Macaca mulatta: one gene and its partners. The protein of the gene in region 4 purifies or fractionates together with the protein of the main gene of each other region. This does not show direct contact. Links are inferred from orthologs where the notes say so. Each region holds a gene or a part of one and is shown on either strand. Other genes may lie near its edges.

The links.
Region 1: the proteins of CRK (region 4) and PEAK1 purify together in Homo sapiens (affinity purification with mass spectrometry; 4 studies listed by BioGRID and IntAct, with this or other methods). This does not show direct contact. The link is inferred for Macaca mulatta from reciprocal best matches to the Homo sapiens genes CRK and PEAK1.
Region 2: the proteins of CRK (region 4) and DOCK5 purify together in Homo sapiens (affinity purification with mass spectrometry; 3 studies listed by BioGRID and IntAct, with this or other methods). This does not show direct contact. The link is inferred for Macaca mulatta from reciprocal best matches to the Homo sapiens genes CRK and DOCK5.
Region 3: the proteins of CRK (region 4) and NEDD9 purify together in Homo sapiens (affinity purification with western blotting; 3 studies listed by BioGRID). This does not show direct contact. The link is inferred for Macaca mulatta from reciprocal best matches to the Homo sapiens genes CRK and NEDD9.
Region 5: the proteins of CRK (region 4) and MAP4K5 purify together in Homo sapiens (affinity purification with mass spectrometry; 4 studies listed by BioGRID and IntAct, with this or other methods). This does not show direct contact. The link is inferred for Macaca mulatta from reciprocal best matches to the Homo sapiens genes CRK and MAP4K5.
Region 6: the proteins of CRK (region 4) and ASAP1 purify together in Homo sapiens (affinity purification with mass spectrometry; 3 studies listed by BioGRID and IntAct, with this or other methods). This does not show direct contact. The link is inferred for Macaca mulatta from reciprocal best matches to the Homo sapiens genes CRK and ASAP1.
Region 7: the proteins of CRK (region 4) and EDC4 purify together in Homo sapiens (affinity purification with mass spectrometry; 3 studies listed by BioGRID and IntAct, with this or other methods). This does not show direct contact. The link is inferred for Macaca mulatta from reciprocal best matches to the Homo sapiens genes CRK and EDC4.

The regions. Positions count from the first base shown.
Region 1 is NC_133412.1:55,256,170-55,260,259, forward strand, and holds part of PEAK1 (inactive tyrosine-protein kinase PEAK1), read right to left. Parts: intron 2,746-4,090; coding exon 1,582-2,745; 3' UTR 1-1,581. UniProt on the Homo sapiens protein: Probable catalytically inactive kinase. Scaffolding protein that regulates the cytoskeleton to control cell spreading and migration by modulating focal adhesion dynamics. Acts as a scaffold for mediating EGFR signaling.
Region 2 is NC_133413.1:27,133,715-27,137,804, forward strand, and holds part of DOCK5 (dedicator of cytokinesis protein 5), read left to right. Parts: intron 1-2,418; coding exon 2,419-2,560; intron 2,561-3,860; coding exon 3,861-3,942; intron 3,943-4,090. UniProt on the Homo sapiens protein: Guanine nucleotide exchange factor (GEF) for Rho and Rac. GEF proteins activate small GTPases by exchanging bound GDP for free GTP. Along with DOCK1, mediates CRK/CRKL regulation of epithelial and endothelial cell spreading and migration on type IV collagen.
Region 3 is NC_133409.1:171,910,429-171,914,518, forward strand, and holds part of NEDD9 (enhancer of filamentation 1), read left to right. Parts: exon of another isoform or gene 1-1,243; intron 1,244-1,258; coding exon 1,259-1,705; intron 1,706-4,090. UniProt on the Homo sapiens protein: Scaffolding protein which plays a central coordinating role for tyrosine-kinase-based signaling related to cell adhesion. As a focal adhesion protein, plays a role in embryonic fibroblast migration.
Region 4 is NC_133421.1:2,983,340-2,987,429, forward strand, and holds part of CRK (adapter molecule crk), read right to left. Parts: intron 2,638-4,090; coding exon 2,102-2,637; intron 1-2,101. UniProt on the Homo sapiens protein: Involved in cell branching and adhesion mediated by BCAR1-CRK-RAPGEF1 signaling and activation of RAP1.
Region 5 is NC_133412.1:123,763,193-123,767,832, forward strand, and holds the start of MAP4K5 (mitogen-activated protein kinase kinase kinase kinase 5), read right to left. Parts: upstream 2,956-4,640; 5' UTR 2,831-2,955; exon of another isoform or gene 2,782-2,830; intron 2,556-2,781; 5' UTR 2,447-2,555; coding exon 2,339-2,446; intron 1-2,338. UniProt on the Homo sapiens protein: May play a role in the response to environmental stress. Appears to act upstream of the JUN N-terminal pathway.
Region 6 is NC_133413.1:140,447,482-140,451,571, forward strand, and holds part of ASAP1 (arf-GAP with SH3 domain, ANK repeat and PH domain-containing protein 1), read right to left. Parts: intron 1,934-4,090; coding exon 1,811-1,933; intron 1-1,810. UniProt on the Homo sapiens protein: Possesses phosphatidylinositol 4,5-bisphosphate-dependent GTPase-activating protein activity for ARF1 (ADP ribosylation factor 1) and ARF5 and a lesser activity towards ARF6.
Region 7 is NC_133425.1:63,447,069-63,451,892, forward strand, and holds the start of EDC4 (enhancer of mRNA-decapping protein 4), read left to right. Parts: upstream 1-1,566; 5' UTR 1,567-1,768; coding exon 1,769-1,850; exon of another isoform or gene 1,851-1,869; intron 1,870-4,705; exon of another isoform or gene 4,706-4,805; intron 4,806-4,824. UniProt on the Homo sapiens protein: In the process of mRNA degradation, seems to play a role in mRNA decapping. Component of a complex containing DCP2 and DCP1A which functions in decapping of ARE-containing mRNAs. Promotes complex formation between DCP1A and DCP2.

The DNA of each region.
Region 1 (4,090 bases), on a different chromosome or scaffold from region 4:
GTACACACACATTGTTCGAGTGACTCTTGGGATTTCAAGGTCAAAGTAAACACATACTCACAGTTTTGAATAAAACAAGCACAGGTGCACATGTGTATACACACACACAAACACACACACACACACACACACCCCCCAGTGGAAGGAACGCTCATCTCTTAGCGCAAATATGTGCCAAGGGAAGAAGGGGGAAGGTTTCTGTAGACTCGCTTCAGGTGAAGTTGCAACATAAACACTGTAATATACAGCTAAAAAAATACATACAAAAATTGCACATATATCCATAGGAGGGGAGCACAGGCTGCACACATGGTGAACAGCTCTCAATCACCCACCTCAGCAATCAGAATTCTCGTGAGCTGTCCTCCAGAGCCATTTTAGAGAGAGTCAGAAGGAACAATGAGCCACTTACACTGGGAGGCAGTCTCTCTAAAAGAGGTCAACATTCTAAGGAGGTCAGCAGTCTCATCAGTGGCCTTCTTCCCCTCCCCTGCCTACGGCCATCCCAACAGCCCACCTCACTGTGCCCTGTAAGATCTTAGAGCTCCACCGACAGCTATTTCATTCAGGGCAATTGTTTACAGCATTTGCTAAACTAGTTAACACTGGCTACTGATAGAAGGGAGCTGGCCAATTACTGCTCAGGGGAAAACTGCAAATGCTGACAGTTCTGACAGTAATCAAAGGGTACTTTAAACTCTGTTCCCTGATGGCCCCTAGAGAATTGCACATGCAAGAAAATCATCTCCTCATGCCCTGCCAGCTATTTATAAGCTCTGAACTGCACTCCACCCTGCTGAGGCATTGGTGACACCACCTTGGGTCAGCTCTGTAATGGGCCACAAGTGGCTGATAAATCCAAACATCACTGGCAAGTGGGGACAGAGTAGAGAATCAGGCAGTGGCAGCAGAGGGGAGACTATTAGGGCTGTCCTCCATGCAGTGCACATACTTACAGATAATGGCAATGAAAATGGGTTGATGACCCAAGGATGGGATCTCTCCTTTTCTTTCTACTCTCTCCTGGAACAAAGGATATAGTCCCTGGTAACCAAAACTGGGCTGATGCTAAAGATGGCAGTTCTGCCTAGTAAGTCAGTTGTTGACACCTTAAAGGAAGAGTCTGTTGTCAGAGTCTACTGGGTCATGGTAGAGACTGGTTAAGTCTGTCTACTGCTAGTGAGAATAAATACTCGGTGCTAAAAAGATAGGTGATATCCAGAATTATAGAAGAAATGGACACAGCTCACTGGCTCACTGAGTTCATACCAAAGAAGCTGTCCCTTCAAGAATATGGATTTTCATTTTTACCTGCATTTTCTTCTATTAGGATAGAAGGTGTTTCAAAGGAAGGCAACCGCAAGTTTGTGCAGCTGAATTTCTGTAAAGTTAAGACAGACTCAGCTTCTCATTCAATTTGGGGCAGTGGATAACCTTTCTGAATGGACCTACTTGTTCATGGACAGGGATAGAGGTTTGTCTTTCTTCTTTCCTTGAATTTGGAGTGAGCACTAGGAAGGGGAAGTGCATGGGTGACATGAAGAAGGTGAAGATGTGGTAAAAGCAGCATCCAGGTACACATTAACGGTGCTGTAGAATTTTCACAATACAACTGAGGGAGTCTGTAGTGGCAAAAGCCAAATACTGAGCACAAAGCCAGTCCTCAAGGCTGATCCCACCTTCCCTGTCCAGGGACTTCTCAGCAAACTTGATCATGAGCAGTGTTCGCTTGATGTCTAGCCAGTTTTGGAGCAGGGTGTTCCTCTGCACTAGGCTAGGGCAGGCGGTGAAAGTCTGGAAGAGATCTTCGCGGGGGCCCCAGAGCAGACACTGGAGGATGCCTTTGGCGTCTGAAATGAGGATCCGCTCAGAAGGGTTGGGATTCAGGAGGCAGCTGGCCAGCTGCTGCAGACCCCGGGAGTAGGGGGAGCGGAGCGGGATGCGAGGCAGGTCTGCTCGTGTGTATTCCCTCTCCTTCAGCTCTGGGTTCTCATCAAAGGGGTTGGGTAGGTGCAGCATCTCATAGATAAGGATGCCTGTCTGGAACTCATCACACTTTTTATACTGGGTAGCTGTTATGATCTCTGGGGCAAGGCGAGACTGGTCCCGGAGGATCTCGGGGTCCACCAGATGGCTCTTCTGTTTGGCCTGAGAGAAGTTGCTCACTATAAGCCTAGTGGGATAAGATGAGGTGGGGCTGGGCTCCGCAGGCCCAAAGCCTTGGGCAGTGCCCCCAGGCTGGTAGTGGACAAGTAGCAGGTTCTCTAGGCGTAGATCGCAGTGAGTGACATGGTAGGGTTTGAGGTGCTCAAGACCAGAGCATAGCTGTAAGAGCAGCAGACACACCTGCCTCTCATACAAATCAGGGCTTTTCCCATGCTGGGCTAGAGAGTCTCGCACAAAATCAGCCACAGTGAGACATGGAACTTCCCTGGTGATGACTACAACATGGCTCCTCTGCTTCTTGCTCATGACTCCCTGGCTGTCTTTCTGGGATGATGCTGCTTCAGAACAGGGCTTTGGGTTTTTCCCATCCGTTTCTCCTTTGGCTTCTTCTTCAGTCTCTTCCATGTCATCCTCTTCCTTTTCAGGGTCATCAGGATCCTCCCAGGGAAGCAGACGGTTAGGGACTTCAGCAAGGAAATGACCACAGTCCTGCTGAATGTTAAAATGGACAGCCAGACTCTGCCGGACAGCCAAGCTGTGATAATACTGCTGAGATTCTTTAGCTTTGCTCTTACAGATCTGAAAGATAATAAAACAATTTAAAACTCACACTCTCATAACCATGTTTATGATGTATCAGGAGGATTAACTACAAGGTGACTGGTTAGGGACAAACGATCATATAGTAAAGTTGTTAGCAAGGCTTGCCCCATGTTAAGTGACAATAATAATGGTGGTAACCGTTTCTCATGGTTGTCTACACATTCCAGGCTGTGGTGAGCACTTTCTGTGTACCATTTTTAGTCCTCACATTAACCTTTCAAAGTAGATTAAGGATCTAAGAATTTAAAAAAGAAAAAAAGCCCAGGGTTATGTTTGCAAACCTAAGTTTGTGTAATGCCAAAGCCTGCTCTTTCCACTATAACCTTGCACCTCATCAGAACAACAATGAAATAATTTTTCACTTACTTCTGTAGAGGTTTGTAGCCCAGACTGATAGAGCGGGCCAACAGACTCATAATGGAGACCAGAATACCTTATTTCATCACCCATCACCCTTTGTGTCAACATCTCACAGGGAAGGAGAGGGATATAACATTGGCCAGGTAAACTGTGGGTTTTCCTAACTTTTCAGTGAATGTCATTGTGATGGTCACAACACTGGCACTCATGGATCACTGGTAGGGTTGAGAGAGTCACTGGTCTGACCTAGTCAGAACAAAACCATCATTTCAATGGCGGTTGTCTGAGTTTTATGCTTTCTCTTAACAGGCCTCATTTAACACCCGCTATTGAGGCAATAAGACCTTTCCTAAAGAACTTTATTAAGTGGTTATGGATCAAGGAAGAATTTTTTGATCAAAAAAAGTTAGCCAAGAGTTCTATATACTGTGATGATTGTATTTCTACTCTAAGGGGTTATCAAACCAAAAAGTAAAACCACCCCCAAATGGGCTATCCTCATGCTATAGAGAGGCTGACAGTGGAAGACTCAAGTCTCTAATACTAGTTCATGGATCATAATAGTCTGGCCTGGAGTCCGCTCCACAGCCCTGTTAACTGAGGGTCATTCTCTGCTGTCCCTCCTCAGCAGGGGCACACTGCCACATATTACAAATATCAAAGGCTTCCAGCAACATGCACTCTCTGTAGTGTTTACACTGCGTGTTTATTACAATAATACAGAAAAGCAAATTTTAAAAAAGCAATTTTTAGTAATTTTTATTTAAAAAGAAAAATGTATACATTCTTAGGAGGATTCAGATGGGTCCCCAGTTCTGAGAAGCAGCACATTCTGATTTCCATTCAAATACATTAAAAAAACAAAAACAAAAACAAATCAAAGGCAAGGGAGTCTCAAGGGAAAAAAGCATCTCTCTCTCTCTCTCTCTCTCTCTCTCTTATTCTCTAGTTTATCATATTT
Region 2 (4,090 bases), on a different chromosome or scaffold from region 4:
CCACATCTGTGACATATGCCTGTGTGTTGCATGAAATCAGAAATGTGACCACAGAGACAGCAGTGATTCTGTGAAATCAAGAACACCAGACTTCAAGTCAGAAGCATTCTAGTCTAAATCACCTGCTGAGTGAGTGTGTGATTTTGGTGAAATCACGTAATCACCGAGTCTTGGTTTTCTGATCCGTAATTTAGAAAAATAATGCCTACATCACAGGAAAGTTTTGAGAATTAAGTAAATAGCATATAGGAGTGCTTTATAAACTGTAAGGTAGTTTATAGATGTTAACATACCTCAGAGCATACTTACAGTAGAATATAAAATCCTTGTGAGTGCATATAACGTCAGTGCCATTCTTTTCTATGGGATATTTCCCCAAACTCAGAATATATAAAATTACATCATCCTCTCCTTCCAACCCGGTGAGATTTCTTTATCTCTCTTGTTTCTGTCAAGGGTACCACTGTTCTTCCTACTCCAAGACCACTGACTTTTTTTTTTTTTTTTAAGAAATGGGGTCTTGCTCTGTCATCCAGGCTGAAACGCAGTGGCGTAATCACAGCTGCCTGCAGCCTTGACCTCCCAGGCTCAGGCAGTTCTCCTGCCTCAGCCTGCTGAGGAGGTGGGGTTACAGCTGTGTACCACCACGCCTAGCTAATGTTTTTATTTTTTCTTAGATATGGGATCTCACTGTATTGCCCAGGCTCAAAACCAGTGATCTTTGAATCAGCATCAACTCCCCTATCTTCCTCGCCCTTCTCCCAACACCAAAGAGACAAACACTGAATGCTTTTACTTCTCCCTCTCCTGCTGTTCCTTTTCCTTCTCCTTCTCCTGCTGTTCCTTTTCCTTCTCCTGCGCAGTCCAGCCTATGAGCCTTCAGTTGGACATAGATGCCACTGTTGGCTTACATTGTCTACACTTCTTCTTTCATCATGCGGCTCCTGCCTTCCAGAACCTCCAGTGAACATTCCGAGTCTTTGAAACCTCTACCTGCCATGCAAGATCATTCATATTCTGGCTCATTCTTCCAGGCCAGGCTCATGTCTTCTCCCAGGACTCTGTGCTTTCCACCCCTGGGCCTGACCCTTTCCACGTACCCGCCTGGCCCTTCTCACTCCTTCTCTTTACACTTCCTTTTCCCATTCATCTGTCTATGCCTGTCTAAGGCCCGTGTCTTCTTTGAAGCCTTCTGTTTCCAGCCAAGCTAATTCTTCCTGACCTGCTTTGATTCCTTTTATAGTTATCGTCTGCATCATACAACTAGTGTTGTATTACACTCTGATCCTTTGCCCACCGTTGTTTCACCTAAATGATGGAATTTCAACAGGCTTGAGTCCCATAGATTTTTCCTAGCTTGGAAAAGTTTTATCATGTATTCCAAAAGATCCAGTAGTTTTTACTCCCTTCATTCAGTATTTGCCTGAAAAGTGTAATTGCCTTCACGGTACTTACACTATCAGGTTTACTTATTTATTTACTTGCTTGTTTTTTATTCTCTCCTCTAGAAGGTAATTCTGTGAGAGCAGGATCACCATTGTATTCCTGTTGTCTGACTGATCTTCTGTTTGCACAACACATATTTGTTATGTGAATGGACAAGTGAGTTTCAAAGACATTTTACAAGACAACCTGGGCCCAAGCCTTGGTTAAAAATGAATCATGTGTGGGCTACCTGTGCAAACTGCTCATTTCGAACATGGCTATGTTTGCACTTGCCCAGGCAGTCACACCTGTGACACAAATTACTCCCATGCCTGCGGCCTAGGAAATCTCTTGGGGAAAAAAATTTGATTAAAGAGATTATATTTGCAGTCTAGAGTGGAGAAAATAGTATTTAATGCGGTGATTTTCTCTCAGACTTTCAGGATTGGCTGGGGACTGGTACATTGCTTCTGTTCTCTGTGACTCTGTTTCTGTGCCAGAAGGCACGTTCCTTCTCCTCATTCTCTGAGGCTGTGCTGTTTAAATGCTGGTCCACAAACTGGATCATGATGAGATCGACAGAGTTTATACCTCAATGTAAATTAATGCACTTCCTTCCTTCCTTAAGAATGTCTTGCCATGAAAATATCAGCATGCTTGGTGATGTCATTGATTTACTTGAGGGCACAAGTTCCTTATTTCCTTGCAGATGGGGGTCCAGACTGTTTGCAGACTGGCCATGGTCCTTGGGCCACACCAGAAGCGGCACCGGGCTAAGTATTTTTTATGCCTGTGATTTAACTTCTCAAATAAACCGCAGCTCTTATAAGATGTGACAGTTGCTGTCAGGCACGGACTAGATATTCAATGAGAACTTGATGGTGTGGATTGAACCTTGGCTGGGGAGCGCAATGGCTCCCTCAGTACCCGGAACTCCAGTTGCCTCTTCACTCGTCCTATGTAATGACTTCCCTTGCTGTCTCTCACCTGCAGAATAAAATCTTCATCTACCGGGGAAAGGAGTATGAGAGGCGAGAGGACTTCAGCCTGAGGTTGCTAACCCAGTTCCCCAATGCGGAGAAGATGACCAGCACCACGCCTCCTGGGGAAGACATCAAGTCCTCCCCCAAGCAGTGTATCCTTCCCGTGGGGAATATGGCCCCGAGACTCTTATGGCTGTGCACAGCCCCTGCTAAGCCAGAGAAGATGGGAGCTACAGTCCCTTCTCTGCAGACAGACGATCCTCTGAAGCGTTCTGACACAGTTTCCCATTCCATGTAAAATCTTTGGGACCCTCATAGCATTAGCTGGTGGTGATGATGTAACAAAACAGGAGAGGTAGGCCGGGCGCGGTGGCTCAAGCCTGTAATCCCAGCACTTTGGGAGGCCGAGACGGGCGGATCACGAGGTCAGGAGATCGAGACCATCCTGGCTAACATGGTGAAACCCCGTCTCTACTAAAAAATACAAAAAACTAGCCGGGCGCGGTGGCGGGCGCCTGTAGTCCCAGCTACTCGGGAGGCTGAGGCCGGAGAATGGCGTGAACCCGGGAGGCGGAGCTTGCAGTGAGCTGAGATCCAGCCACTGCACTCCAGCCTGGGCGACAGAGCGAGAGTCCGTCTCAAAAAAAAAAAAAAAAAAAAAAAAAAAAAACAGGAGAGGTAATAGACAAGTGACGGATATGAAATATACTTCCTAGCCAGATGGGGTGCTTAAGTGGAACATAGACTTCCTATTCTGAATTCTGGATTCTGTTGTAGACTTTGAAACGGTATCTCTGTCCTGGTGGGTTGGGGAGCTAAGACTTTCTAAGACACGATCATTAAATCAGAGCAGGAGCACTTACCCTTGAGCTGCTTTTGAAGCCTAACTTGACCACTTACCAGCTGTGTGATGTTGGATTTTAACCTCTCTTATCCTCAGATTCTCCATCTGTGAAAAGAGAATAATCATTTCCCTCTCGTAGAGTTGTTGTGTGGGTTAGAGATAACATATTCAAAATACCTAGCACTGTGCCCAACTGTGGCACTGGATAAACAGATGGGATCCAAAGATACAAGCAATTCCTGTTGCCTGGGCTCTGAGTCTGGTGATTTCAGGGGATGCTTGTCCCAAGAAATTGTTTGAATCCATTTCTAAGCACCTGTTTCCTGATATTGCATTGACGTCTATTTCCCTATGGCAAGGGTTGTTTGCCAGTGTCTGACCAAAAAAAAAAAAAAAAAAAAGAAGACCCTAGGATTCATTGTAATCACTGAATAAGGCATTTCGGTGATACACAAAGGAACTTCATTTTCAATGTGGTCCTGGGATTTGGGTCAAAGGGAGTGATTGGTGCTGGTGGCATTTCCGGCTGTGAAGCAGGAAGAACAGGCCTTTGGTGTCTGACAACTTCGCGGCCCCAGCCCCTCTCTTTTCCTTAACAAGTTCCTCAGACATGCAGTGCTTCACCGTAAAGCCAGTGATGAGCTTGCCGCCCAGCTACAAGGATAAACCAGTTCCGGAGCAGATCCTAAAGTAAGTGGTTTTTCATCTAAAAAAAAATATCTGTGTCTAGGCACAGTGGCTCACATCTGTAATCCCAACATTTTCCGAGGCCAAGGGAGGAGTATTGCTTGAAGCCAGGAATTTGAGACCAGCCTGAGCAACAAAGTGGGACTCTGTC
Region 3 (4,090 bases), on a different chromosome or scaffold from region 4:
TCGCTAGAGAAGAAAACAGAGGGCAAAAGTCCAGACAACCTCAGCCGAAAATCCCACGAATACGTCATGGTATGAAATAAAGTCACGAACCTGCCCCATCCAATCCGCAATCCCTTCTTCCATAAATGAGCCCCACCTCAATGACATTAAGTGCATCCAAACATCTTCACAAAGCACTAGAGATCACTTTTAGTGTTCCGAGGGCTTGTGCTGAATCAACAACGTCCCCGACTTCTCTGTGCTCTGGGAAGGGGGCAGGCATGCGGGAATGGCTGCCCGCGTGCTGGGAAACTTTACTAATGCCAAGAAATGAAATCTTCCCAGCCTTTGAAAGGCCTCCAAGAATGTCAGCACGTACCGCCTGCCCACTCTCTGCTGAATGCCTACTTTGGCTGTCTGCTTAGTACTGAATGTGCCAGACAGGCCTTCATACAAAGACGGAGAGTGTGTTGGACCCATGAAAGGGGAAGGCACAGCTTTTCCAATGTGAATGGCGAGATTCAAGAAGTAGGTGACGAAAGGGGAGGGCGAGGAGGGGCCCTCAGGAAAGGTATGCATAAAAGACCGAAAGAGAAGAGTTGGCATCCTCCTACGTGTTAATAAATTCGTTGTCAAAGCTGGAGATGTAGATGACTGCCGGCCTGTGCTCCATGCTTGATGGCATGTCTGTATGCCTTGCTTGTAGATTCTCTCTGGATCGGAGGCTCCTGTCATCTGAGAACAAGAATTTCTAAGCCCTGCCAAGGCATATATATGTGGACTTCTGTTGATTTTTCAACTCCAAATATAAATGCTATTTGTACTGTGTTATTTGGGATTTTTCTTTTACTCTTTTCACCTCCAGTATAGAACAATATTGAGAAATGTTCATTGTTGTACATCTGAAGATCTTGGGGTTTTTTTTTCCTTAAGCTCACTTTAAAAAAGGAAGAAAAACATTTTGAATAGTGAACCATGCTCTAACTCTGTAACAGTGCTACTCATAATTCCTTGGCACGGCATCTCCTGCTAGAGGAAAGAACTCTTCTGGTGTTTTGAGCTTTTCCAAGGAGGCAGTCTGATGTCACTGGTGGCAGATGCAGTGTGTATGTATCTGTCTTTTGTCTGCACCATCTGTTTTTCTCCTTACAGTCTATTGTTCAGATTTATGCTTCTCTCTTTCCAGGAAGTGTGCCTTTCCATAAGAGCACAGGCCTTAGGTGCTAAAGGGATTGACCCAATATTCTAACATGGTTTCCTTCTCTTCCTTCTTTCCTAGAATCTTATGGCAAGGGCCTTATATGACAATGTCCCAGAGTGTGCCGAGGAACTGGCCTTTCGCAAGGGAGACATCCTGACCGTCATAGAGCAGAATACAGGGGGACTGGAAGGATGGTGGCTGTGCTCCTTACATGGTCGACAAGGCATTGTCCCAGGCAACCGGGTGAAGCTTCTGATTGGTCCTGTGCAGGAGACCACCTCCAGTCACGACCAGCCTGCCTCTGGACTGATGCAGCAGACCTTTGGCCAACAGAAGCTCTATCAAGTGCCAAACCCACAGGCTGCTCCCCGAGACACCATCTACCAAGTGCCACCTTCCTACCAAAATCAGGGAATTTACCAAGTCCCCACTGGCCATGGCACCCAAGAACAAGAGGTATATCAGGTGCCACCATCAGTGCAGAGAAGCATTGGGGGAACCAGTGGGCCCCACGTGGGTAAAAAGGTGAGTAAGTCACTAACTAAATCTTTGTTCCTACTTATTTTTTTTTCCCATTGCACTTGGAGCATTTGGAAATGTTCCCAAAATAATAACTTGAAGCTGCCAAGAAGTAGATATAACCAATACCTTAGCTCAGGTATCATGTATGCATGATTTTGCCATTCATCCATTATTCAGCAAAACCTCTTTGAACTACCACGTGCTGAGTATGGTTGATTTCCAGCCCTCCTAAGTTCCTGTGTCATCCTGGGTTACATGGGTTGTTAAACTGTTTCTCTCCATCTTTCTCACACATTAGCTTCTAAGCCTTCATTCTGTGCTCAAATAGTTTCCTATCTTTTCTGTTTCTTCATGGAGTGGAACAGACACCAAATCTCATACAAGCCTGATGATGCAACAAGGATCCTCCCTTGGCCAAAAGCTGAATCATGACCTCGGTGGCCTGGCTGAACAAGGAACCCACCCAAAGTAGTGAGAGTGAGGAAACTGGGAGTAGGTCATGCTGACCAACTCATTCTGTAGAGCTGTCAGCTTAGTTTGACTCATTTAAAATGCATAGATACTAGTGGAATTGGAATGAAGCTGTCCTCCTGTCCTTCAAGTCATTCTTATAATAATGCCTGAGGCAGTGGGTGAAAACAGTGGAACTTGGATATTTAAGAAGAAATTAATTTAAAAATACAGTGTGGGGGGCTCTGCAACACCCTGTATAATCCCAAATACTTTAGCAATTTGAGGTCAATAGAAATTCACTAATTGAACAATGAATGTTGAGCACCTAATATATTTTTGATGCTTGTGATACAGTGATTAATTAAAGATAAACAAAGCCCTGGTGATGCTTACATTGCCGTGGGGGAGACGGAAGCAACCAAGAGAATGCTAGGTGGGGACACGTGCTATCAGGAAAATAATGTCAGTGGACTGATCGGGGTAATATCCACAACCAACATGATGCTTATGTGAACATCACAAGGGAGGGATTTCCTCTTTCATTTACTGGCAAATTCCAATGGGTCCTGCAAGGTTTGGTATTAGGAATGAACCAATTTAACTGGGTAAGAAGATATCCCTGAATTACAAGAGGAAAGATGCAATTACATAACCAGAAAGAGCTTGTTGACCCTTAGAACACTAGCTATAGATCTGCCCTGTCCCAAGTAAATCTAATATGAAGTCTGATCTTACAAACCTCTGTAAATTAGGGAGTATCTATTTGATGCTATTAGAATCCTCGGTTGAAAAAACAAAGGATTCCTTTAAACAACGAAAGCACGAATGCATTTTTGGGTACATGGAGAGAGGCAGCCTAGAGACCCAGGATCAGGATAGTGCCGAAAACCCTTGGTGTTTGGCAGGGGATGTGCCAGGGCCACCCTCCTGCCCTCCCCATCCTGGCCATGTCACCACCCCAGACCCTGACTGTGCGGGTGGATTCCTTTAAACAACCAAAGCACTAATGCATTTTTGAATCACCTTTTATATAAAAAGCATGTTTTACAAAATACTTCTCAAGAGCACACATGTGGCATGAGCTGAGTGTATGTTCCTTAAGAGGGATTCCTCAAGGGTGGTGCACAGCTTTTAGACTTGTACTGCCCATGACAACGATGCCGGCCTAGAGGTGATAAACTGACCTGTGGCTTTTCAGTCTTCCTTGTCCTGGGAATTGTAGATTCAAAGGGAAAACGAAACCTGGCCTCTATCTCCAGAGGGGAAAAAAACAGTTGAAAGGTGTAACTATAAATAAATAACTTCTCTCATTCTTAGTCCTGGTTGTTTGCACCTTAAAAATAGCTCTCCCACATCTGAGCCAGTGAGGCAGATGGGGAGGCCAGAACAGGAAATGCTTGGCGGAGAGGTGGTGGGCTCTAAACTTTCATCACGGTTGACTTTGGCAGGAAGGTAGTGTGTTTTCCTTTTTAGACCCAACCTTTTCAGCTCCAAGTGGGAGAAGCCTAAGCCTTCAGACTTCTTCCCCTTGTGTCTGCTGGGACTGCCCTGCAGGCTTTCCCCATGGCTCCCTGTCCTTCCAGAGGGCAGAAATTTGGACTCATCTTCCCTTGGATTGATGTCAAAGGGCTTGGGTGCTGGGGTGACCCTCAGGCACTCACATTCCATGTTTTGTTTTACTTTAAGTCTACACTCAGTAGAACATTTTCTGTTTAGCAAAAGGTAGATGAGTCCTGCAGGAGGAAATCAGCTTCTGAAAATGCCCTGTGCCAGCCCTTCCAGGAGTTGCAGCCAGGGCTGAAGAGTAGGTCATGCCTGAAGCATCACACAGTCGGGGTCTGGGGTAGTGACATGGCCAGGATGGGGAGGGCAAGAGGGTGGCCCTGGCACCTTCCCTGCCAAATACCAAGGGCTTCTCCACAGTATCCTGATCCT
Region 4 (4,090 bases):
ATCCCACCACTTTGGGAGGCCAAGGTGGTTGAATCACCTGAGGTCAGGAGTTCGAGACCAGCCTGGCCAACATGGTGAAATCCTGTCTCTACTAAAACTACAAAAATTAGTCGGGCATGGTGGTGTATGCTTGTAATCCCAGCTACTCAGGAGACTGAGGCAAGGGAATCGCTTGAACCTGGGAAGCGGAGGTTGCACTGAGCCGAGATCGTGCCACTGTACTCCAGCCCATGCGATGGAGCGAGATTTCGTCTCAAAGAGAAAAAAAAAAAATCCAAAAAAACCCAATACCCAAATCAAAAAGAAAAACTTACTAAAATCATAAACCAGTTTTCTACTCAAATCTTTATTTATAAGATTTGTGTTTCACAGCAGGTAGAAAAGCTCAACCATTTTTTTGAGCAGTAAAGCCTCTAATTAAGGCAGGCATGATAAAATCTCTTTGAGAAGGGAAATGCAAATAGAAGCAAAATTCATGTGATAACTGGTTTCTCCTGGGTCAGCTGGCTTGTTCCATGGTTTTTCTTTTTTTGAGACAGAGTCTCAGTCTGTCACCCAGGCTGGAGGGCAGTGTCATCATCTCAGCTCACTGTAGCCAAGACCTTTCAGGCTCAGGTGATCCTCTCTCCTCAGCCTCCCGAGTAGCTAGGACCATGGGCATGTGCCACTATGCCTGGCTAATTTTTTGTAGAGATGGCATTTTGCCATGCTGCCTAGGCCGGTCTCCAACTCCTGAGCTCAACTGATCTGTCCACCTCCGCCTCATAAGGTGCTGGGATTACAGGTACAAGCCAACACGCCCGGCGTTTGATCCATGTTTTCATACTTACTTCAACCCAGTGCTAACAAAGTCTGGAATAAATATCAAGAGTTACACCTAGTGACTCAGTAAGGCCAGAAAAAATAAAAAAAAAAAAAGAGAGAGGAAAAAACAAGAAAATAAAAAAGAGTCAGATCCATCATACACACAGCACCATGCCAGATGTTACCGTCATCTCATCTCACCTCACAGGAAGACCTGAGGGTAGAAATCTATTTTCCTCCAAACAAAGAATGAGAACAAGAGGCAGTGATAACCCTGACAACACACATTCCATTTCTCAGTCAAGCCAGGACTGCAGGTGCATGCCACCATGCCTGGCCGTTTTTTGTTTTTGTTTTTTTTTTTTACCACTTTTTGTTTAAAAAGCTGAGGTCTCACTACGTTTCCCAGACTGGTCTTGAACACCTGGTCTCAAGTGGTCCTCCTGCCTCAGCCTCCCAAAGCACTAGGATTACAAGTGTGAGCCACTGTGCCCAGTCTGTACTAGCTTTTACACTGAACCATCAGCTCTTCTGAAAAGAAAGGAACGGAGAAAGGAAGGAAGGAAGAAGAAAGGAAGGAGATAAAGGTGTGACTGAGAAACAAAGGAATAAAGGAATTAACACCATGTAATGGCTGGCCAGAAGGAAGTGGGCTACCGAAGGTATTTCACCAGTTAAGGCAAAAATTAACTCCTGAGGAAGAACTGGCTTCTTAAATGATTTAGAAAGACCCGTGCACCTGCCACTCCTCGGAATGAGGACTTCTGGGTGTGAGTCTCTTCACACCTCTACCATGCCTGCTTCCTCCTGGATTCTTACTCAATGAACACAATTAGTGGTAAGGAACTTCACGTCCCCTGAAGCAAAAACAAGTTTCTGCGGGAAAATTCCATTTAAGTGCTTTGATAGAGACCACTTATTACACTCAAATCCATCTGAACCCACCTTCTTTTAGACAACGACAAACAGAAAGCAAGAAAACAGATGAGGATGTGGATGAGGAAAAACATTTGAGGTGAATTCCTGTGAATTCAGGTGGTGTTATTAAAGCAGTCCAAGTGTGTTTAGTAGATCAATTAAGAACATTCAGTTATACAGTTTTAAGCTTACTCATTCCCAAACAGGTTTTCTATGAAAAAGAGAAAACCCAACATTAAATGCCAAAATCAGTGCTTAGCAGCTTTGCCATCTACAACATCCCAATGCTGCTGTAGTCAGCATTGCTACAAAGCTCTAAGAGGACCGAGAGGAGACCCTGCAGCAGATCTCTTCTTTCTACATTGTGCACGTTATGTACCTCCAAAGCCAAGGCTGTCTTGTCGTAGGCATTGGGGACTCGCTTCTGGATAACCCTGGCATATATGGGCCCATTCTGGAGGTTAGGGAGCGGAGTGTTGACGCTGGGTTGGGCATAGGGCCCAGGCTCCGGCCCACCCAGTGGCTGTGGGTGGGAACCCTCCTGGTTACCTCCAATCAGAGCCGATACTGAGGCGGAGGCAGGTCTATACTTCTCGACGTAAGGGACTGGAATCATCCCTCTCTTGCCTTCGCTGTCCTCCGCATTCCACCACTGCTCTTCAGGCTTGTCCCGGATTCTCAAGATGTCTCCTTTCTTAAAGGGAAGATCTTCCTCATCATTCCCATTAAAGTCAAAGAGGGCTCGCACATACTCCGCCTCCTCCTGCCTGAGAATCACTCCACTACCCTGCCTGGATCTGGAAACCGGTTCTATCAACGTTGTAGTGTCCAAATAGTGTATTTTGTAGAATTCCAGTAAAGCAGGCAATGAATCAAACTCTTGATCTCCTATTCGGAGTCTGGAGGGGCTCACCCCTGGAAAAAACAGAGCAGGCTGTTATTTAATGATGTACTATACTGGAAATTAAATACAGATTTTATTTTATTTTTTTTTAGAATTGGGATCTCACTGTATTACCCAGGCTGGTCTTGACCTCCAGGGTTCAAGTGATCCTCTCGCCACAAACTCCTGAGTAGCTGGGGCTATAGGAGGTCACCACTGTGTCTGGCCGAAATGGAGATTTCACGCCCCATATACATTTAGTCAAGATTTAACCAGAAAAAAAAAAACTCTAGAAAAAATAACCCTTCTCTTCACAGCATACCGACATCACATTTGGAAGCTGAACTATCCCCTGGGAAGAAAGATGCCCATCACTAGGGCCCCAGGGAAGGATCAGAAGGCCAAGAGACTAGGCTAGTCAGGACGCACTCTCATACTTGAATCAAAGACAGAGGGGCTTTCAGCGCATCCTCCAAACACATTCTGTCGCTGCCCTATTTACAGAGCAGTGTACGCCTCAAGGTTCTGTCGCATCTTTTTCGGAGACCAAGTCTCACTCTGTCGCCCAGGCTGGAGTGCAGGGGCGCGATCTCAGCTCACTGCAACCTCCGCCTCCCAGGTTCAAGCGAAGCTCCTGTCTCAGCCTCCCGAACAGCTGGGATTCCAGACTCCCGTCACCACACCCAGCTTTTTTTTTTTTTTTTTTTTTTTGTATTTTTAGTAGAGATGGGGTTTCACCATGTTGGCCAGGCTGGTCTCAAACTCCTGATCTCAGGTAATCCATCCACCTCAGCCTTCCAAAGTGCTGAGATTACAGGCGTGAGCCAGTGCCCGGCCTGCATCTATTTTTCAATCTCAGGAAATGTAGCAAGCTCTCATTTTCCATGGGTCCCTGCTGATGTTCCAGAGGGTGGAGAGAGCTTAGTGTCTGCACTGAGCTCATACATTTTTCCCCTCCACATCTAGAATGTATAATTCCGAATAAAAAAAAACTGTCTCTTTATTGTTATGGTTTTTGTTGTTGTTGAGACAGTCTCACTGTGCCGCTCAAGCTGGAGTGCAGTGGCACGATCACAGCTCACTGCAGTCTTGACCTTCCAGGCTCAAGCACTTAGGGAAGCTGAGGCAGGCGGATCCCCGGAGCTCAAGAGTTCAAGACCAGCCTGGCAACATGGTTGTCACTGCAAAAAATTTAAAAAATTAGCTGGGCGTGGTGGCACACTTCTGTAGTCCCAGCTACTCGGGACGCTCAGGTAGGAGGATGGCTTGAGCCTGGGAGGTCAAGGCTACAGTGAGCCATGATCATGCCAATGCACTCCAGCCTGGACAGTGAAGCAAGACTCTGTGTCAAACAAAAATAAAACAAAATGAATTTTGTTGGACCTGGTGCCTCACACCTTAATCCTAGAACTTTAGGAGGCTGAGGTGGGAGGATCGCTTGAATCCAGGATTTTCAGACCAGCGAAGACTTTCAACACAGCCAAG
Region 5 (4,640 bases), on a different chromosome or scaffold from region 4:
TACTCTGTGGTAGGCATAATCAGAGACAGAGCAGTGAAGAGATTAAAATCCCTGCCATCATGGAGTATTTTAGTAAATCAAGATAAATAAAAAACAAGAAAAAAAAATAAGTAAAACATTTTGTTGGTGGTAAGTACAAAGCAAAATTTAAGTAGAAAAAAAGATTTGAGAGGGTGTGAAAAAAAGGAGGAAGGGAGCAAGCCATACAGTAGGGGGTGGGGGGAAGGGGGAGACATTACGAAGAGAGGAAATAGCAAGAACAAGGACCCAAAGATGGGGAGATGCTTATTATGTTTAAGAAGCAGCAAGCAGGCCGGTGTGACTAGAGCAGAATGACTAAGGAGAGTGGTAGATGAGGCTGAAAAACAAGGGGGAAGGGCTAGGTCTTGTCCAGGAGCATTTGGGTAAGGTTTTCATGGACAGGTATTATAGCAACAGGTGGAAATGGAGGGGTGGAAGGTGATTCCAAGTAATTAGAACAAAGGAAAACAAAAGACAAGGAGCTACGAATGCCTTAAGGATGTTTAGAATCAGAGGCTGGCCTAGTGTGCAACGAATATACATGTAAGTGTGAGGAAGCAATATTGTGAGAGTAGGGGACCATGTGTTAAGGGGTGAAGGTAGAGGGTGATGAATATTCAGTTTTTGATCCTCTGTTTGGGAACTGCAGAAGAGAGACTAGGGCAGGAAGGCACCAGGGTAAAAGGCAGGCATTAGCTGTCCCTTAAATATAATCTTTGCTTTTTCCCTGGCATGAATAAAATCCTGCTCCAGATAGTTGCTTTAGTTACCATATCTATGAAGAAAAAGGGTGCACGTCTTAAGATCTTTGTGGGGAAAACACTCCTGAAACTTTATTGTAGTAGGGAGAAGAGACTATATACAACAAGTAGAATTTATACTATTGTAAATTAACATGAACTAAACTGAACTGGTCTAATACACAGTGAATCATAAGACAAAGATGACTAAAAAATGAGACTGAGAAAGGAAACAGGAATTTCAATTTTCTAAAGAGCATTCCACAAAATGGCTAATCCTTGGATAAACAACTAAGTTAACTACTTCTAATTTTACATAAAGAAGAGGAGGATTGTTACAATCATACACGTTGAGTTCAAAGGTATTCAAAAGGTAAGAGCCGGAGCCTTGCTCAGAATTCATCACCTCAGTACCTCTAGCAGTGACTGGTACAGAAGACTCGAATGCTTGTTTAAGGAATAAAAAGCCTATCCATTACAGTTTATCTCAGTAGAATCGAACAGTGCTAGGGCTGTAATACCACCACCTTGAAATGGTAATATTAATAGGGAGGAAATTAAAAGTAAGTAGAAAGAGGGGAACCACCTGTACAAAACAACAACATAACTCCAGAGGAATCTACTGGTTAATTACCCAAATGACACAAAACCATCTCAGCGGATATGCAGAAGTGTTGTTTGGCACAATGGGATATGTATTATGATCAAATCCAATAAACAACGCTATTCCCTTTTTGGAACACACAACAAAAAGCATAAGGCAATCTCAATCTCTTTCCTCTGAACCATTCAATAACACAGCGGATTTGGGGAATTGGGTTTGCTTCTCTACAATGCTTTTTAAAATCCTAAATTAGGAGTAACTCACCCTCATCGTTTGTCTTAAGTATTACAAAAGAGTACAATACAAAGACATCAGCTCATATCCACTCATGGTTATGGGATGTTAGAAATCCCTGAAAGGAACCGCTAAAGTAAAACAAAACCCAGCAAGTTAATATCACATTTTTATCGTCAACCAAAAACAAACGATCAAACTTCCACCAGGAAAAGCATCTTTTTATATGGGATAATGTTTGCATACATGTCACCAATATTAGTTTGTTTACAGTTAAAGCTCAGAGACAGGGTTTTATATGACTTTTTAAGCCAAACTCATCCATTAAAACAAAATTTTTTTAAAAAAATGCAAATGTCTGAATGTCAATATTTTTTCCTGTCTATCTTCCATGAAGCATTTTTCCATGCTAACACTAGGGCATCCTTCGGTGTAATTCCACAAGCAGATTCAAATTCCCTTCAATACCATAAACAAGCCCTATTAAAAAGCCTTTAAACCACAAAAAAGTGCAACAGCGGTTTGCAACTGTGTGGTTAGTTCTGCTTGTTGGTAGAGATTAGCATAAGCTACGAGTCGAGGTTGCTCAGAACCGAGTAAAAGGGACCTCGGCCGCTTTCCCCCCTAGAGGCAACAATAAAAGCATCCTCCTCTCGCCCCAATACTTCGCCCCAATACTCGTCCCATTCCCGGGACCCAGTCGACCGCAGGAAAAAAAAGCAGGGCCAGCCTCACTTACCTTGTAGACGTCCCCGTAGGTGCCGCTGCCGACCCTCTGGACAAGCTCGTAGTCCTGCTGCGGGTTCCGCCTCAGGATGTCCGCGGCAGGCCGCAGCGGGGCCTCCATCTTCGCTTAGGGCCCGGCCCCCGCCGGCTCAGCCGGCGGCTCCCCGATTCCCGCTAACGAGCACGAACGGCGCCGCTTCCCAACATGGAGCCTTCGCCGGCAGCTCCGCCTGCACGAGGGACGAGCAAAGACGGGTCGGCGTCGCGGGCTACGACCCCTCGCGGCCCGGCCCCTTCCCTTCCGTTCCGCCAGCGGCCGTGGAAGAGAAATGGGCCTGGAAGGGCCCCTGGCGCCCAGTATCCCTGTTCGGGCTGCAGCCCTTCCCCCTCCCCGGCCGCCCGCGAACTGCCCGACGGGGCCTCCCCGCCCGCCGGGGCCCAGGGCCGGCTCGGTACCTGATGGGGGCGGCCCCGCTCTTTGTTGAGCGCGGAGCCCGGGACCTACTTCCTAGACCGCACCCGCGTCCTCCTCCCCCGCGCCGACCCGCACCTCCGGGTTTGCCGCCACCACCGCCGCCGCCACTCAGCCGCTGCACCGCGCGTCCTCTCGGGGGCGGCGGAGGCGCGTACGGTCGCAGCCGCCGCACCACGTTCCCCACCCGGGGCTGCGTCACCGGGAGACACGTTCCCAGCCAGCATGGGTCGGCGCCCAGCGGCCCGCCCGAGCGCTCCGGCCGCGGAACCAGAGTGCCGCCCTGAGGCCTGCTGAAGACACGACACCCTCCCGACCGCGCCACCGCGCCCCCCTACCCGGGCGCGTCATTGCAGGGCCTGGGCTGTCTCCCTCCCACTCTCAGAAATAAGGGACACCCCTGGGCATTCGTGGGCCAACGGGCCTTGGCTAAACCGTCCCCACATTTGTCAGGTAGGCCTGTAGGGTAACGGGTAGAGGAAGAAGGGCGATGGGAACGTAGCCCTCAAGTTAAACACGGAAAAGATACGTTAAGGGCACCGGGCCAGAAGTAACCTGGCAGCGGGGCGCCAGGGAAGGAGGTGGGGGAGTGCCAGGTTAACTAAGTGCCGGCACACCCTACTGCACCTTCCTGTTTTGCAAACCATTCCCGGTGGTACCAGTTTGAGACTGCACTGCACACCTGCACAACCTGTCTTCTACTTAGTTCTTCTGAGACATTTCTGAAAGTCTGAATTCCTAGGACTGCTCAGTGGCCTTTGTCCCTGTTGGCCACACGCAGTGTCTTATCGCTGGTATTGCACCTTTAACAGATCAGGAGTTCCGAAAAAGTAAAACAAAGTCGGGGGTCACAGACTGGTTCTGGTTCTACCACTTCCTCAGTATGTGCTCTGGGACAAAACAGCGTATTTGGCAACATCTCAATGTCCTTATCTGCAGCTTGAAGAGGGTAAGATTTTGCATCTGACACACAGGAAAGTGTTTATAAAGCGTTTTACAGGATTGTAAAGGGGGTTATCGAATATAAGAGGTCTTAAAATACTTAAAATACTTAATGCACAGCATATATGGAACAGGAGTTCGGGGAAGTAATTTGGCTGGTATTTCACAAGCTGTTTGCAGTTTCAGTTCCAGTCTTGTTCTGAAGGTAGAAAATTAAGTTGCCAGTGTTACATTATACTGGCTAAGTTATTTCTAGAGCCTCACAGAGAATTTGAACAGAAAAGCCAGATAACACTCAGCCACTGCATTTAGTGACCGAAACATCACAAAAGAGCAAGTTGGAGATGTTGGCATGTGACTTTGAACATCCAATTTTTAATTCTGTTCTTGAGAAATATACTCCTGATTGTTGATAATTGTGTAATGTAGAAATTAAATTCGCACCTTAACAGGACAGGGCATATATGTATTTTCTTGTGCTCCACACACAAAGGACACTTATTTGGGGAACATAAGTAAGCCCAGACTTACATGCTCCATGGACAAAGCCTATGTGTTTGCTGCATTGAAAAAATTGTTGAAGAACAGTTCCTTCTTTCAAAGATTCTTGGCACTTGTTTTGGTGGGCACATACTTTTGGCTTCGATGACTCAAAATCTCTTCAAATGTTCTATTGGTATCTTACTACTTGTTTACTGTCATAGATTCATTTGGGACTTTTTTCCTCTGGCCCTATAAGCATTGATCCTTTATCTAGTCTGAAGTATGTTTATTCTTACATATTTATAGTAGCATTACTCCAGGGAATTTCAGGCAGCATACAGAAAACACATACTCTAAAACAAGATAAAAATAAGTGGGCAAACTAGGATGAAGTTAAAGAGAAGGAAAATACGAACCC
Region 6 (4,090 bases), on a different chromosome or scaffold from region 4:
TGTGGGGGCTCCTTGAGTACTGGAGGATGTTTAGTGGCATCCCTGGCTTCCATCTACTAGGTGTTGGTAGCAACCCCCTTCCTTGGTCCTGACAATATTTCCAGATGTTGTAAATGTACTGGAGGGCAAAATTGCCCCAGTTGAGTCCAAACAAAATCCTTAGAGCTGTGATTAAGAATCTGGGCCGGGCGCGGTGGCTCAAGCCTGTAATCCCAGCACTTTGGGAGGCCGAGACGGGCGGATCACGAGGTCAGGAGATCGAGACCATCCTGGCTAACATGGTGAAACCCCGTCTCTACTAAAAATACAAAAAAAAAAAAAAAAACTAGCTGGGCGAGGTGGCGGGCGCCTGTAGTCCCAGCTACTTAGGAGGCTGAGGCAGGAGAATAGCATAAACCCGGGAGGCGGAGCTTGCAGTGAGCTGAGATCCAGCCACTGCACTCTAGCCTGGGCGACAGAGCGAGGCTCCGTCTCAAAAAAAAAAAAAAAAAAAAAAAATCTGACGTCACTGTTTAGGCCTGAAGGAAGAAAAGTCAAGGTGAATGTGTGTCCATGCATACGGGTGTGTGCACACATTATATACACATGTATTTCTGGGCATTCTTAGGTACTGCTGGCTCAATGGCGAGCCTCAGGTCCCTTCCTGGCAGACAAAACTGAATCCCTCTTGGCAGTAGGGGGCTCAGGCTGCCAAGGAAGGGGAATTTTCAGCCTGATGGCAGGAAATGATCAACAAGGAAAGCAGAAGAGGGGGCTTGTTCACTGTACCTTGGACTAGCCGTTCCCATCGGGACTTACTCCCTGGCAACCTGAAAATTAACAGATGTGCGGACTGCCCTCACAGGTCACTGATAGCCTGAGTACCCAGCAAGGCCTATGAGGATGCTGATGTCTTTCCCTCCTGATGCCTGGGCTGCAGGTTTTAATGTAAAAGGAGTTTTCATAGATATTTTCATTTAATCTTTTCCTAACATTACATGGAGAAGGTGTCTTGGCCTATTTGACAAAGAAAGAACTGCAGACTGGATTAAGAATGGAGCCTGAGGACTTGTCAACTGCTTAGCCTGAGCAGGAACTCCGGCCTTCTGATTCCCAGCCTGGGGACAGTGTGGAATGGTGAGCAAAGCATATAGGCTCTGGGGTCAGGGCCGATCCAGAATCTTGACTTAGCCTGCTTACTGGTTGAGGGAGCACAGGCAACATGCTCAACTTTTTTCTGCTTTAGTTTTTTATCTGAAAAATCAGAAAATGCCTACAATTTACAAGGTTACATGATACCGTGGGTAAAGCACATACAAATGTGAATTCTCTTGACCTGTCTTCAAAGCCCCATGGCTGTTTTTTTTTTTTTTCAGACGGAGTCTTACTCTGTTGCCCAGGCTGTAGCGTAGTGCAACCTCTGCCTCCCGGGTTCAAGTGATTCTCCTGCCTTGGCCTCCCGAGTAGCTGGGACTACGGGCGCACGCCATCATGCCTGGCGAATTTTTTTTATTTTTAGTAGAGACGGGGTTTCACCTGCTGGCCAGGCTGGTCTCGAACTCCTGACCTCGTGATCCATCTGCCTTGGCCTCCCAAAGTGCTGGAGTTACAGGTGTGAGCCACCGTGCCCGGCCAGCTCCATGGCTGTTTTTCTAGCATGTAATAGTGTGTGACACAGAAAATACAATTGAGAATACTGCATTCAATGGCTGTTGGGTGAGTGATACAGCTCAAGGGACCTCTTTTACTGCACTGTTTGTAGGCTCCCATGTGGTGCCTGCCAAGGCATGCTGTATGAATGTACCAATGAAGTGGATGGATTCGTACGTACCCACCACTCCTGGTCCTCTTCCCCTGTGACGATAATCACTTCTCCCTCGATGAATGTGAGCTCGTCATCGTTGTCCGCCTGGCAGTCATAAATGGTCTTCACCCGCCTCACTTTATTTTTCCCCTTAAAGAAAGAAACTGGGTTTTAATTGAAAGAATGGCCTGAATGGAAAAAAAGAGCAGCGGTTCTTTGTAAAATGGTTGACCTTGGGCAAGTAACTTAACCTGGCTGAGCCTTGATTTCCTCACCCTTGAAGGGCGGGAAGAGTGCCTGCCAGGTGCCCGGTATACTGTGTGCTCTTAAGGAACCACAGGCCCTTCCTCTCCCCCCATCATCAGTGTGGCCCCGCATTGGTGATTGGGCATCAACAAGTTATTTTCACCAGAAAGCAAACACTATGGGTAGGGATCAAAATTCAGCTTCACCAAAAAACATCAAGCACTCGGTACCCTCCCAACCCACATCAGCTTGCAGAATGACAGCAGAGTCTAAAAATGTTTTTAGGAAACATGACGTAAAGCAAAATGTGCAGCTTCGACATACTGAATGTGCAGCATAAACAAATTTGTCAGTCCCCTCATGCAAAAGAGCAAGTCAGTACATGCTGGTTAAACACAGCAGGATCGGCCTGGGGCTAGGAGAAGTCTATGTAGTTCCTAAAACAGTTTTAATTTTTGATCAGTTTTGATTTGAGCATTTATTTGTTGAACTTCCAGTTCTTTGCAAACAGAAAAGTGAAAATAGAGGTGTCACCTTCTAAGCGATGGGTTGTTTGTTTTGCACCCAGCTAATTGGCAATTTTAAAAAAAGCAAGCTGTCTGTTTAAATGTTTTGGGTGGAGTGACTCTTCCTCTCTGTCCCCTGGTTTCTCCTTTAATCACCCTGATAGTTCCAGCTGCTTTCTGAGCTCCCTTCAGGGCCTGTGCGAGTGGGCTGGAGAAGCCTGGCAGAACTGTGGCAGTGACTGCGTGAGCAACTGAGAGGCCTGTAGTGTGTTAATTTATAACGCGGAGATTAAATGACATAATAAAACTGTATAGTGTGTAGCATGAAATGAAAATTTTGCGTAAGTGGTGCTTGGGAGTCATGAAGAGTTCCCTTTTGAATACTAGAAGTATCTACCATCAGACACGGCAGCCTCCAACCTACAGGAAGATGGGTTTTATTTTTCTTAATTTAAGTATTGATATGACATACTTTTATTGTAACTTTTTTTTTTTGAGAAGGGGTTTCACTCTGTTGCCCAGGCTAGAGTGCAGTGGCATGATCACGCTCACTGCAGCCTTGATCTCCAGGGCTCAAGCAATCTTCCCGCCTCAGCCTCCCAAGTAGCTGGGATAGCAGGCATGTGCCACCATGCCCAGCTAATTAATTTTTATTTTTTAAAGAAATGGGTTCTCCGTATGTTGCCCAGGCTGCTCATGAATCCTGGGCTCAAGGGAACCTCCCACTTTGGCCTCCCAAAGTGCTGGAATTACAGAAGTGAGCCACTGCACCCAGCCTCGTTTTAATTTTTTTGAGACAGGGTCTTGTACTGTCACCCAGGTTGGAGTGTAGTGGTGTGATCACTGAACTTCTGGCCTCAAGCAATTCACTTACCTCTTCCCAAAGTGCTGGGTACTGTGTATAACAGAATGTGAGGGGGGTAGAACTGCCATGTGCAGTGGGAGAACTTTTGGTTTCCCTGTTGACTGTGCTCCCCCTCCTGGGGAGCTGGTGCCCTGGTGGGAGGGCAGCTATGTTCCAGATAAAAAGCATGTGACATCTTCCTGGAGTACCACATCTCCACAAAGAATGTGAGGAATAAAATCACTTATATTAAAATAAAATTGATATACAGTAGGAAACACTTCATGAAAATGACAGAATATGAGATTTCTACAAAATTCTATGCTATTCTATTATATCAAGAGCTCTATCTCCAATTCCTTTAGGAAGATGCAGTGAGAAGGTCTGACTCAGCAGATACTCAGGGAGCCAGGCGCAGTGGCTCACGCCTGTAATCTTAGCACTTTGAGAGACCAAGGTGGGAGGATTGCTTGAGCCCAGGAGTTCGAGACCAGCCTGGGCGACATGGCAAAACCCCATCTCTATCAAAAATATTAAAAAAAGCCAGGTGTGGTGATGCGCACCTGTGGTCCCAGCTCCTCAGGAGGTTGAGGTAAGAGGATCACCTGAGCCTAGTAGATTGAGGCTGCAGTGAGCTGTGATCGCACCACTGCACTCTAGCCTGGGAGACAGAGCAAGCCCTTCTCAAAAAAAAAAAAAAAAAAAAAAAAA
Region 7 (4,824 bases), on a different chromosome or scaffold from region 4:
TCTCTCCCACTCCACAGGGCGACTGGTCTGGAGAAAGCAGGCAGGAAGAGCTCAGGTCCGACTTGAAGCTTCTCGCACTGAAGCCTGTGCAGTCAGTTCTGATACCTCCTGTGACTTCTGCTCTGGCGAGGTTCAGGGCTCTAGTAGCAGGAGAGATGATCCTGAATCCTGCTGAAGCTGGAGAGGCCTTGGCAAAATGGCCCATCACATTTAGGCCCTGTGGGCTGAGGTCTCAGCAGTATCAAGGGAGGGGTCCGCTGTATCCCCAGAAGGATCAGGATCATATCCAGGGTGCCCCACATACACCAAACCAGGCAGAGGGCAGCTCAGCTCCTGTCCCATCTGCTTTGGATATCATTACCCAAAGGCAGGTAATCCGAAGAGCCAGCCTCCACTGCCCACAGAGCCAGGCCCAGTTGGGTTGGAGTATAGGTCAAGAGCTGTGGAAGGAGGCAGTCTGTGAGGGACTCATAATTTAGGAGTCCTCACCCCTCAGACTGCTGCAGGACATTGCCAGGCCTCTATTCCCTTCCTCAGAATACAGACTTCATGCTGTCTTCAAATCCCAGGGAGTCTTAGCTATTAGGGCAGTTTCTGCTTCTCCATTTTGGGGACAAACGCCTTACCCAATACAAATCTAGCCCCCCATCCCACAGACTTCTGGATGGTATAAACCTAGTGGCAACGTAGCAACGATAGGCCAGAACCAAACCCAAGATTTGGGTCAGTGCCCTGTTACGGGTTTTAGGACTGGTAAGGACACCACAGCTAAATCTGACGTGTAAAAGGATACCCTTTCCCCGTCCCAGTGCGGGTGGACTGTATCCCCACCTCTTCAGATCCCATAGATTGCCGGGTGACATTGGGCACAGGGCTGGATGGTGTGCTGTTTGAGAGGACAGCATGCTCAGGAGATTTCAATAGGAATGATCTCTAGACTGATGTGTATTTGGGGAAGTGGGGGTGGGGAAGAGGTAGGTGCCTGCTGCCTCAAACCACCTTGTGTAAAATCTGCAATACAGCTTCTTCCATGTACCTGTGCCTGAACTGTCTGCAATAAAGAAGAATTTGTAAACTGTGGTTTCTTTCTTCTAACCTGAGGGTGCCAGGTGGGACAAGGGGATGCTGGGGGACAGTAGGGAACAATGACTGATCATTGTGGTGGGGCCATCTCTGCTCTTGCAATTCCTGAGTTTTATGACCTCGAGGGTCGCCTCAGGCCTTGAGTTATTCCCACCCATTCTCCAAAGGAAACCTGAGGCACCTGCCAATTCAGGATATTCTGGGGGTCTGAAGGACCTTAGCATGGGCGGCTGAGTTGACCCCGTCCTGGGACCATTGGAGCCATGCTCTGGGAGTGGGCAGGGACCTGGCGGCTTCTGAGTCGAGTAGGGTTCTGGGTGGCCCAGTGTGTGGACGTTTACCTCATCCCTGTGGAACTTCCCTGACCTCGCGGGCACAGGGGCGGGGCCGCCGAAGGGGACGGGCTGCGGGAAGGGTTTAGGCTTCCGCCCCCAGCCCGGAACCTTTCTTCTCCGTCCCTGACAGGTTCCGGGAGCCTCGGCTAGTGGGGGCCGGAAGTGGAGGCGGTTGGTGGTGTTGGCGGGGCTCGGGGACGCTGCGCGGGCGGTGGTTTGCGAACTGCGGGTGGACTGAGTGTAGTGACCGGCGTCCTGCTGTCTCGCCCCGTCGCGGGTGGGCGAGGGTGGGTGGTGCGCGGCGGCGGCGGAACGAACGCGGTGCGGGCGGGGCGCCCGCCGCTGGGCTCATGGCCTCCTGCGCGAGCATCGATATCGAGGACGCCACGCAGCACCTGCGGGACATCCTCAAGCTGGACCGACCCGCGGGCGGTGAGCGGGGGTTGCGGGGGTGGGCCCCAGGCGAGCTGACAAAAGGGCGGCGCGCGTCTGAACCGCCCTTGGGGCCCGCAGCTCCCTTAGGACCAGCTTTGGATCCTCCTGGCGGGTAAGGGTGGACGGGGATTGACTGCGCCCCTCGTTTCCTGGCCCCAGGTCTCTAGTGTTCCTGGGACTGGCCTAGCTTCTCTTCCCTTTCGCCATGGTTCAGAGGCCTGGTCTGGGCTCCGTATATGGAATTCTGGGCCTAGGCTTAAGCGCGATGCTGAAGAGCCGCCGGTCCCCGCCATAACTTGCCCTTCTCTCTGGAATAAAGACTCCAGGCCTCCCGTTCTGAAACTGATTTCCAGGAGGAAGGTGTCCAGCCTGAATTCCGTGTTCTTTCTGGGATGAAGGCAAACCACAGACCGCACCACCCTGACTGAATTAGGCTACAAATATCTCCAAGCCCTAATTTCTTCCCATTCATTCATATTTCTCTTTGGCTCTTAATGATACCTCAGAACTAATCTTGCCCCCAAAGATTCCTCAAGACACAGCTAACAGGGTTGTAATATACTGTTGTCATTGAAAGAGAGGAGTGTCTCGATACTGTGATGGGCATGGGAAGGGTGGAGGCTGATGAGTGCAGAGTACAGGTCTGAGAGGGGAGAGTGGGCTAGGTCTGGTAATGTGAACAGGGTCTTGGGTGTCAGGAAAGGCACCCAAGGCATGTATGTAGACGCCACCTATTAGGAAAAGGAAATAGCACGTGTGGAGGCACTAGTTTACTGACAGGTTTAGGGATCTCTGAAGTGGCCGGTGATAATGGTGTGGGTGTACAGTGGAGGACTGATGTTTCCTCAGATCTTGTTCTTACACCTGCTGGGAGGCCCAGACTGGCTGCTTTTGGAAGCAGGCACTGGTGCTCACTAGGGGTGGATTCAGCTAACCCCTACTTTCAGAAAATCCATCTGCTGCCTGAGACCACTGGGGCCTTTGTGCCAGGCCTGGAGTGTGTGCCCTCTTCACTCATGAGTTGGGCGTGGACCTCTTCTGCTGCTCAGCTGCTTTGCAGACTAGACTCTGCAGATATTTGGTAGAGCCTGGCATGGCCAACCATGTACAGCCTGGGCCTGCTTTTTGGTTGTCCTCATGGTACCCTTCATGGAAGGAAGAGTGGTCAGCTTGTCACTGAACAGCTAAAGTGGCTCTGATCCGAATGAAGTGGCCTGCAGGCTTTCCTTATAATTCCTTTGTTTATTGATTGGCACTTGATTCCCTTGTTTGCCAAGCAGCTCTTTCTTGTTTCCTCTCACTGGAGGACCAGGTCAGAACTCAGACTGTTGAGGGCTGGGTGCGGTGTCTCCCGCCTATAATCCCAGCACTTTGGGAGGCCGAGGTGGGTAGATTGCTTGAGGCCAGAAGTTCGAGACCAGCCTGGCCAACATGGTTTCCCAACATGGTGAAACCTCGTCTCTACTAAAAATATAAAAATTGGCCGGGCACAGTGGCTCACGCCTGTAATCTCAGCACTTTGGGAGGCCGAGGTGGGCGGATCACAAGGTCATGAGATCGAGACCATCCTGGCTAACTCGGTGAAACCCCGTCTCTACTAAACATACAAAAAATTAGCTGGGCATGGTGGCGGGCACCTGTAGTCCCAGCTGCTCGGGAGGCTGAGGCAGAAGAATGGTGTGAACCTGGGAGGCGGAGCTTGCAGTGAGCCAAGATCGCGCCACTGCATTCCAGCCTGGGCGACAGAGCAAGACTCCAAAGAAAAAAAAAGCTGGGTATGGTGGCTCACGCCTGTAATCCCAGCACTTTGGGAGGCCGAGGCGCGTGGATCACAAGGTCAGGAGTTCGAGACCAGCCTGGTCAAGATGGTGAAACCCCATCTCTACTAAAAATAAAAAAAAAGTAGCCGGGCATGGTGGCACGTGCCTGTAGTCCCAGCTACTTGGGAGGCTGAGGCAGGAGAATCCCTTGAACCTGGGAGGCGGAGGTTGCTGTGAGCTGAGATCATGCCACTGCACTCTAGCCTGGGCAACAGAGCGAGACTCCATCTAAAAAAAAAAAAAATTAGCTGAGCTGTAATCCCAGCTACTTGGGAGGCTGGTGCAGGAGAACTGCTTGAACCCAGAGGGTGGAGGTTGCAGTGAGCCAGGATCGCGCCAAAAGAACCGAAAGACTGTTGTGACTGGAAACTTGCTATGTTCCTGAATGTGGAGCCCTAGGCTCCTTGCCATTTGGGGATTTTGGAAATGGTGTCTGAGCCTATGAGAGTGTTTGAAACCCAGCCAGTTGCAAAGAACTGAAATGCTGTCTTTCGTTACTCCACACTCTGTCCCATAGTTTTTCTCCTTTTGGTCGAGCTCCTTTATGTCCCTGCATTCTGTGTTTACTTGCCCAAGATAGCTTCTTTGGAGCCATTTCTGTGTGGGGCAGCCCCTTCCACATCTTACCAGTGCCCTTCCATGCCTTAGGAGCCCATCTTCTCTCCAGATCTTGACACTACATTGGTCTAGGCCGTGATCTCTCTCACCCAGATTCTCAACCATTCTGCCTGCTATCTTAATCATCCCACTGGCCAGAACTGACCGCGTCACCTTCCCCTTTGAAACTCTTTATGGTTCTCATGGCCCACAGGGAAGAGTCTAAGTGCCACAGCATCATACCTGATGCCTCTGCAGCTTTGTTTTCCCTCCATCCTTCCTGTGTTTGTGTGTTCTGGCCACACTAACTGCTGTATAAAGTCTTTCCTGACCGTTCCTATGCCCTCACTCAGAGTGCACAGAGTTCTGTAGTAACCCAGGCCTGAGTATTAACTGGCCTCAAAGGGTCCTTGATGGCTTGTACCCCTCCCCCAGGCAGAAGAGCCTCATGCTCATCCTTGGTCCTGCATACGTCAGCGTTTATGGAACGAGAGATGAACACAGGGCCCTCCTCCTCATGGACATGCTTTGCTCAGTTGAGTGTTCCTAGAACA